Linked DNA regions of Mus musculus. The protein of the gene in region 2 binds, or shares a complex with, the protein of the main gene of each other region. Links are inferred from orthologs where the notes say so. Each region holds a gene or a part of one and is shown on either strand. Other genes may lie near its edges. The genes, in order: Eme2 and Mus81.

Region 1 (4,554 bases), on a different chromosome or scaffold from region 2:
GGCCACTACCCTCCACTCTTCCATTCACCTCAGCTTCCCTTACCCTCTCACCCACCTCCCATGGTATTTCCATTTGACCATCAGGCAACAGAGTCTATCTACCACAGTCTGAAAAGGTATGGGCTGGACCCAAACCTCCTTGCCTGCCTCTCAGAATAATTAGATTCTTAGGCAGACTTGTCCTGTTGTACTGATGGGCAGGAGGTGACCCCAGGATGGCACAGGTCAAGAGCTCAGGTCCAGCAGGAGGTCAGGGTTGGTGGTTGTCAAGAAGATACAGATTCTGCGTGAGAGGTCAGGCCCCACTCTGCGAGGCTGCTTGCCTTTGTGGGCCTTCACAGGGAGATCAGCTAGGAGGCTCAGGCGTTCTTGCTCTGTGCTGCAGTCCAGGAGAGCCTGGAGTAGGCACAAGTGTAAGGGGTGGACGGTAAGTCCTGATCCTGGAAGGAGGGATTTAGGGGACTCACCTGTTGCAAAAGGCGGGGTGATGGGAAGGCAGTAACAACAGCGTCAGCCACAGCTGGGCTGACCCGGTTGAACTGTCTGATTTGTCGCCACCACACTCCTCTGAGCCCAGAGCCATCTCTGGTCACTTGCTGGCCTGAGGCCCAGTGCCCTGCTGTGCAGAAAGAAAAGGCCTGGGAGTCCCGGTGCTGCCTGAAATGACACCCAGACAGACGCTTTGAGAACCCCATTTGTGCAGCCCTCCGACCCTGGCCTGTGTCCACTCGGCCCCTGCAGAGATGCATACTTCGAGGGGAGCTGCGAGAGGGCCCTGGTGAAGGCACACACGTACTGACTCAGCTCCTGCCACGAAGCCATCAGCAGCACATCCAGGTTTGCATGGAGCTGCAGCAGCACCAGGATCTGGGGAGTGTGAGAGTGGGTACGGACCACATGACCTCTGGGGAATGCCAGCCCAGTGATCCTGGGAACTAAGGCCAGTTCTGACAGGCCAGCCTACAGCCAAGTGCAGAGACAAAGGCAAGGCACCTAACAACTCCACACAGCCCTCACCTCCTCCACCTCAGCCCAGCTGATGGCTCCCCTGGCATGGGCTTCCTTTGACTTCTTTAGTTGCCATGTCTTCTGAGAACTGAGCTGGTGAGACCTGAACAGAGGGGATGATCTTTTGGGCTCCAGAGTCTCCTACCTCTGCAGAGCCAACTCAGGCCAAGTGGGGTTAGCTGTGACAGAGCCACCAGAGGCAAGCCACTTTCCTGGAATCCCACCCAAGCCAGCCCTACTGAGGTTAAGTGGTACCACAGGTATGCGTCCAGTCCAATGACAGCCAGATGGGAGCGGGTGAGACTCTTGGGAGAAAGCCAGGGGATGGAGCAAGGTGGATCTGTGATCTGAAAGCAAGAATATCCCCATACTTGTTCACAGGAGGGCTTTGACGGCAGGCCTATAGCCACTGTTGTACCAGGGGAATGTTACCCAGCATGTGTTTGACAAACGTTGGCCCTTGGACAGCGACACCTGCAAAGCGTTTAGCAGAACTGTGCTCTAGGCAAATACCAGTTGGGCATTGTTACCTTTAAGTCTAGGGAATATAAGCAGCCAAGTGAGGGATTATTAGCTTTTGTAGACAGAGCCCACAGCCAGTGCCTACATTATACAGACACCATCAGCTAGAATTCTCAGTTCCTCCTCCATGCCTGGCCAGTTTGCAGTCAGGTCACTATTCTCCTAAAGGCTCTCTAACGCTCTGATGTCTGGAGCACGCAGCAGGCTTTCTCATCTCACCCTCAACACCTTGATGATCCTCGACAGAAGCTCCATCCCATCCCAGACTGTCAAAGGAGACCCATCAAATAAAGATAGGGCTTTTCCCCATTACCTGGGTCAGCTGCGCAGCACCCTGAAGAAATTCCTGGGGTTCCAGCAGCAGCAACTGTTCCTGCTCATTTTCAGCCTTCGCCTCCAGAGGCACCTATAGGGGATATCAGCTGCCCTGCTAACCACCAGTGTGAGCCCAGGGCTTCTCCCTGTGCTGGCCAGTCAGTCACCAGACACTATCAATAACCCTCCAGCTCCCGTGAAGTTCAGGCCAGTTGGGTCTGTTCCCTAGAAGTCCCTGAATACAAAAACTAGCCCAACTCCCATCCTCATTGCCAACAGGAGGTTATCTGGCAGCAGCTGAGTTCAGGTTTCTTGTGTTAAGAAATTCGACTTAGGCATCCTTCAGTTTTTTTCGCCTCCTGTGCTACCTCGCTAGCCAGAGGAAAAGTGAAACATGGATTAGGACTGGCACTGGGCTGGTCATAGGGAGACACTCACATTGCTGGGGGCCGGGTCGGGCCTGACAACGTTCCACTGCAGGCTGCGGGCCTGGTGCTGCGGTTCGATGCGGCATTCACAGCCTAGCGTGCCCAGCGCCTCCATCAGGATGTCAGAGCCTGCATCTTCCAGGACAGCTGGATCCCAGCAGGCACATTGAGTTATTCCACCATCTCCAGTGCGGACTAGTGGGTGACAACGCTACCCTGTCTGGTGGCTGGCCCCAGATTCCCAGCCCCCGTCCCCTCACCTGGGTCCACGCACACCACCAGTCGCCCCAGAACCTGATCTGCCCGTAAAGCCTTGGCTGCAGCTCTGCGCTCTCCTGCTGGACTCGGGGCTTGCGTGCCGACCTCCCTAGCGGGGACACCTTCACCGTCTGAGTCGGAAATCTCCCAGGTTTGAGGTCGCCGATGGCCGAGACGCAGGCCCCGACCGAGACGCGAGACCGTGACTCTCCCGGGACCAACCTCCGCCATAAGTCCTTCGTTCCTGAAGCTTCCGGACGTACCCGGATGCTTTTGTTCAGGACACCGGCCGCTTCCGGAACGGGAGAGCTCCTGAAGCGCAGATTTCCTGTGGAGTAAGGACACTGACATGGCGCGGAAGAAAGTAAGACCCCGGCTGATCGCTGAGCTGGCTCGCCGCGTGCGCGCCTTGCGCGAGCAGCGGAACCAGCCGCGAGATTCGCAGCTCTACGCCCTAGACTACGAGACGCTGACCCGGCCGCACTCCGGTCGCCGGCTGCCGGTACGCGCCTGGGCCGACGTGCGTCGCGAGAGCCGCCTCCTACAGCTGCTCGCCCGCCTCCCCTTGTTCGGCCTGGGCCGTCTGGTTACCCGCAAGTCCTGGCTGTGGCAGCACGACGAGCCATGCTACTGGCGCCTCACGCGTGTGAGGCCCGACTACACGGCGCAGGTGCGCTAGCTTCCTGTACTGCCCATTCTTGTTTCCACTTTCATTTTGCCCACCCTGGACTATACATCGGCTGGTTTCACCCACTCTGAGCCACCTGGGCATGTATGTCTCCCTTACCCACGTAACTTAGTGGCAGGGGCTGCATGTTGACAATCCTCCCTCTTGTTCTGCAGAACTTGGACCACGGGAGGGCCTGGGGCATCCTGACTTTCAAAGGTAAGGCTGGATGCTGGTTGGAGCCGGGGATGGTTCTCATATCATCCAGCCAGCAGGCAGTCAGCTTGTCTTCTTTCCTTCAGGGAAGAGTGAGGATACGGCTCGGGAAATCGAGCAAGTCATGTACCACGATTGGCGTTTGGTACCCAAGCACGAGGAGGAGGCCTTCACTGCGTTCACTGCGAAACCAGAGGACAGATTGAATTCTGTCCCCTATCCACCTCTGCTGCGAGCCATGATCCTCGCTGAACGGCAGAAAAACGGGGATACCAGCGTCCAGGAGCCGCTCCTGAACCTGGAGAGGACTCGAATGCGCCCCTGGGACTACCCTGCAAAACAGGAGACGAAAGGGAGGGCCAAGGGCACCCCAGTCTAACTGCCAGGACTGGCAGAGAGGTCCTGTGAGTCATTTGATGGACGAGTGCCTTTGACTGTGCTAGATCTTCACTTCGGTGGCGAGTTATATCCTACAGCCCTGACACATCAGGCAATGAATAATGGGGCAGATGACAGGCTGCTTGGTGTCATTTTCAGGCGGGCCCCTCTCTGATTCCTCGGTCTGGAAATAAACGCCAGGAAACAGCCTGTGTTGTGGTTTCATTACATGTGTACCGCAGGACAAGGGAGGAAAGGTGGCGGTATGGAGCAGAGCAGCAGGTGCTCCCGCACACTCAGGCAGGACTTGGGCGCCGAGACTGCGCTTTGGGCTCAAATGTGCTGGGATTGCAGAGCCCCAGGAGAGCCCGCGCCAAGAGGTCCTTTAAGGGAGGCCCCGCCCCCTTGCCGCTTGGCCCGCCCCATCCGCCGCCATGATCTGTCTGGTGCTGACCATCTTTGCTAACCTCTTCCCCTCAGGTGAGCACCCGGGCGGGGCCGGGCGGGGGTCGCCCGGTGGGGCATGCCTGAAGCCAGTACTCCCGCAGCCTACAGCGGCGTGAACGAGCGCACGTTCTTGGCAGTGAAGCCCGACGGCGTGCAGCGGCGGCTGGTGGGCGAGATCGTGCGTCGCTTTGAGAGGAAGGGCTTCAAGCTGGTGGCACTGAAGCTAGTGCAGGTGTGGGCGCACAAAGGAGCAGGTGGATCCGGGAAGGGAATCGGGACGGTCTAGGGTTGGGGCCCTGGTATAGGTCGCTACTC
Region 2 (3,618 bases):
CAGTTGCCCCTGGGATTTAGGGGAACTACCCTGGCACTGAAGGTTCTGGCCTTATGCATAGCCTCCATTCCATTATAGTGGCACCACCGAGGGGGCCGTCCAGCAGAGACCACTGGAGCTAAGGCCTAGCGAGTACAGAGTGCTGTTGTGTGTGGACATTGGCGAAACCAGAGGGTAAGGAAATAGGGGAAACTGTAAAAACGACTTGAGGATGCTGGAATGTGGCGAGTGCTGGCTCACCCTGACTTGGCCTTCCTTCTTGAAATATCAGGGCAGGACACAGGCCAGAAATGCTCCGAGAGTTACAAAGGCTGCGTGTGCCCCACACCGTACGCAAGCTACACGTTGGAGACTTTGTGTGGGTGGCACAGGAGACCAGGCCCAGAGACCCAGGTAAAGGGTCTTGGATAGACAAGGGAGGCTGGCCTAGGTAGAGACAGGGAAGGCAGGAAAGCTCTTCTTGGTTTCTCCGCAGAAAGACCTGGGGAGCTGGTCCTGGACCACATTGTGGAACGCAAGCGGCTAGATGACCTATGCAGCAGCATCATTGACGGCCGCTTTCGGGAGCAGAAGGTGCCTTAGTCAGCCTGCCTCACTCCTTGCTTACCTCAACATAGAAAAGCTCCCGGGTGGCCTCAAAGCAGAGCCTCCAACCACACCCACTTGAAGCCCCTTTTAAGCCATGCAGGTGCACAGTTGAAAAACAAAGCTATTTCAGTTGGCTGGAGAAAATTAAAGAGCCCTTGAGTACCTAGCCCTAGAGATCTTATATAAACAAGAGGCAAACCTCTTAAGGTTAGAAATGCAGAGTCTATACCCAAGTCCCAGCAACAGGACTAACCCTAGGGGTCACAGAGCACAGTAGGCCAAGGGAGGTTTGGAGGAAGTATGATGTCCGGAGGTTCAGGGCTTTCCTACAGGACCAGAGCCTAGTGTGGTGTTGCTTTTAAGATATGAGAGGTGCCAGGCAATGGTGGCACATGCCTTTGATCCCAGCACTTGGGAGGCAGAGGCAGGGGGATTTCTGAGTTCCAGGACAGCCAGGGCTACACAGAGAACTATGTCTCAAAACAAGCAAAGGATGTGAGAGAGCCAGTAAAGATGAGGATCTGGGTCCCTTGCAGTGTTAATGTGTTACTGATGGCTAGCCTGGACACGTGGGCATTTGGGCCTAACCACACTGCTTCTACCTGCCTTCCTAGTTCCGCCTGAAGCGCTGTGGCCTGGGGCACCGGGTATACTTAGTGGAAGAACATGGGTCTGTCCACAACCTTAGCCTTCCCGAGAGCACCTTGCTGCAGGCTGTCACAAACACCCAGGTGAGCTGGGAGGACAGGACCAGGCTGGCAGATTTTACAGACCATGGCGCAGGCCAGGAGCTCCCTTCCTTGTGTCTTCTTCTCCAGGTCATTGATGGCTTTTTTGTGAAGCGAACCATGGATATTAAGGAGTCGGCTGGCTACCTGGCGCTTTTGACAAAGGGCCTGGAAAGACTGTACCAGGTGAGCAGATGCCTCTATCCAGAACTGGACCCTTGCCTGGTGTTTATTGCCCAAGCAAGGAAAGGTGGGGTCCTAGTTCTTCAGGCTTCCTACTGAGGCCTGGGAAAGGACTAGCTGGGGCTTAGTCTTCAGAGCCTACCCTGGCCTCAGTCCCCTCTTCCATCAGGGCCACACCCTACGCAGCCGCCCTTGGGGGGCCCCAGGGGCTGCTGAATCAGAAGCAAAGCCTTCCACAAACCCTCTCTGCTCACTCCTCACCTTCAGTGACTTCAATGCAGAAGCTGTCAAGAACAAGGTACCACCCCTGCCTCACCTCTGCTCGGGTGGCCTAGGCCAAGGTCACCCTTAACACAGGCCTACCCCAACCCCAGGCCCAGTCTGTGCGAGAAGTATTTGCCCGGCAGCTGATGCAGGTGCGTGGACTGAGTGGGGAGAAGGCAGCAGCCGTGGTGGATCGATACAGCACCCCTGCCAGGTACGCCCCAGAGAGCGGCTGAGGGCAGAGTTCACCACAACCAGTGCTCCTGGAGACTGAGCTTGGCTCTGCGTGGGCACCTTGGCAGGCTCTGTCCCAGCGTTTCCCAAGGAGGGAGGGAGGGGCTCTTAACACCAGAAACAGGAAATGTGTCGTGTTTAAGATTCCTCCACTCTAGGCTAGACCCCTCCTGCCTTACCTCTCATGTCCTCATGTCTCCTAATGCTTGCCAGATAATCAGCCTTTATATGCCCTACCCCCAGTCTCCTGGCTGCTTATGATGCCTGTGCCACCGCGAAGGAGCAGGAGATGCTCTTGAGCACCATCAAGTGTGGGCGTCTGCAGAGGTACGGGTAGTTATGATCTGGAGAGAAGACTGGGTCACCTGAGGCACCAGGCTGACCTCCTCCTGACCTGTCTTCCAGGAATCTGGGACCCGCTCTGAGCAGGACCCTGTACCAGTTGTACTGCAGCCACAGCCCTCTGAGCTGAGCTGTACCAGGAGACGCTCGCTCCCCAGCACCCATCTTCATCTCTACCAAGGCTGGCTAGCCTTTTAGCTGAGATCCCCTGGGCTTTAATAAAAATCTGGATGTGTGTGGTCTCGGCTGTTAAGGAAGCAATGCCAAGGTCCTTCTGAAATCTACAGGGGTTGGAAGACTACACTGCTGAGCCAACTGTTGTGTGTGGTGGTGCTAGCAGCGGAACCCAGAGCCTCACACCTACTAGGCAATTCCTCTTCCAAAAAGCAATGATCCGCAGCCCTGTACAGTGTCCTTACCCATTCCTAAAACCAGCTTGGCCTAAAACTTGCTCTGTAACCTAGTCTAGCCTAGAACTCCCAGTTTTTCTGGGTCTACCTTCCAAGACCTGAAATTAAAGGTGTGGGGCACCACACCATGGTTCTTTTTAAGGCAAGCTCCTGGGCTAAACATGGTTGTGCACACCCATGTTTAATAAGTACTTACATAGAGCCAGACCCTAAATATGGATGGCTGGATAATAGATAAACACTCCTTAGGGGCTGGGAATGCCCTGGTCAGAGAGATGGGGTCAATAAGGCACTGTATGTTTGAGTGTAATTAGATGGCCCCCGGTCAAAAAGTTTCTCAATCCAGCTGCCTCATTCTAGTGACTGGAGACCAGAGGCTTGTACAAGTGCAGAGCTTGGGGTAGAGCTAGGATGCTAACCCCAAACTCCTAGCACTGACCAGAACATGGTTCCTGGGCCCAGTATCAGCCAAGCTCTTGAGTGAGGACCTGAGGTACATACTCTTCAGAACTCCCTGCTCAGGCCTTTTTTTTTTTTTTTTTTTTTTCTTCCTCCTGAGACAGGGTTTCTCTGTGTAGCCCTGGCTGTCCTTGAACTCTGTAGATCAGGCTGGCCTCGAACTCAGAAATCCACCTGCCTCTGTCTCCCCTGAGTGCTGGGATTAAAGGTGTGCGCCACCACTGCCCACTGCTCAGGCTGATTCTGAAGAATGACCTTGGCTCTGAAACCTCAGCCTGACTGGAGAGGACCCCTTGTGTGGAACTCACCTGCCCCTCTCGCAGGCCAGCCCCTTCCCGGGCTGAGGTTACTCACCCACCTCAGCCAGGACTCCTTCTTTCTCCCTTTATTGTCCTTCACATCATAGTTCC

Evidence for each region.
Region 1: the proteins of Mus81 (region 2) and Eme2 are in contact, whole or in part, in a crystal structure (PDB 7F6L), measured with the Homo sapiens proteins. The link is inferred for Mus musculus from reciprocal best matches to the Homo sapiens genes MUS81 and EME2. Residues at the interface, in NP_079404.3 of Homo sapiens: His330, Glu351, Phe354, Lys357, Arg358, Arg363, Val365, Glu381, Leu385, Gln386, Thr389, Asn390, Gln392, Val393, Ile394, Phe398, Lys400, Arg401, Tyr411, Leu414, Leu415, Arg417, Gly418, Leu419, Arg421, Leu422, Pro447, Ile464, Lys467, Ala468; in NP_001244299.1 of Homo sapiens: Glu140, Arg177, His179, Glu220, Glu221, Val224, Leu225, Gln227, Leu228, Trp229, Asn231, Leu232, Asp233, Leu235, Arg245, His246, Ala249, Val250, Lys252, Ala253, Leu254, Gln256, Tyr257, Lys260, Gln261, Glu264, Gln266, Phe268, Phe270, Cys271.

The regions. Positions count from the first base shown.
Region 1 is NC_000083.6:24,892,288-24,896,841, forward strand, and holds the start of Eme2 (probable crossover junction endonuclease EME2), read right to left. Parts: upstream 2,801-4,554; 5' UTR 2,763-2,800; coding exon 2,534-2,762; intron 2,421-2,533; coding exon 2,284-2,420; intron 1,937-2,283; coding exon 1,844-1,936; intron 1,356-1,843; coding exon 1,264-1,355; intron 1,112-1,263; coding exon 1,018-1,111; intron 868-1,017; coding exon 752-867; intron 658-751; coding exon 468-657; intron 397-467; coding exon 226-396; 3' UTR 1-225. Other genes in the region: Mrps34 (28S ribosomal protein S34, mitochondrial), read left to right, coding at 2,881-3,201, 3,375-3,417, 3,501-3,793; Nme3 (nucleoside diphosphate kinase 3 precursor), read left to right, coding at 4,227-4,272, 4,341-4,471. UniProt on the Homo sapiens protein: Non-catalytic subunit of the structure-specific, heterodimeric DNA endonuclease MUS81-EME2 which is involved in the maintenance of genome stability. In the complex, EME2 is required for DNA cleavage, participating in DNA recognition and bending.
Region 2 is NC_000085.6:5,481,814-5,485,431, reverse strand, and holds the end of Mus81 (crossover junction endonuclease MUS81), read left to right. Parts: intron 1-78; coding exon 79-174; intron 175-271; coding exon 272-393; intron 394-475; coding exon 476-573; intron 574-1,202; coding exon 1,203-1,319; intron 1,320-1,406; coding exon 1,407-1,502; intron 1,503-1,668; coding exon 1,669-1,797; exon of another isoform or gene 1,798-1,873; coding exon 1,874-1,977; intron 1,978-2,210; exon of another isoform or gene 2,211-2,240; coding exon 2,241-2,324; intron 2,325-2,402; coding exon 2,403-2,469; 3' UTR 2,470-2,871; downstream 2,872-3,618. UniProt on the Homo sapiens protein: Catalytic subunit of two functionally distinct, structure-specific, heterodimeric DNA endonucleases MUS81-EME1 and MUS81-EME2 that are involved in the maintenance of genome stability.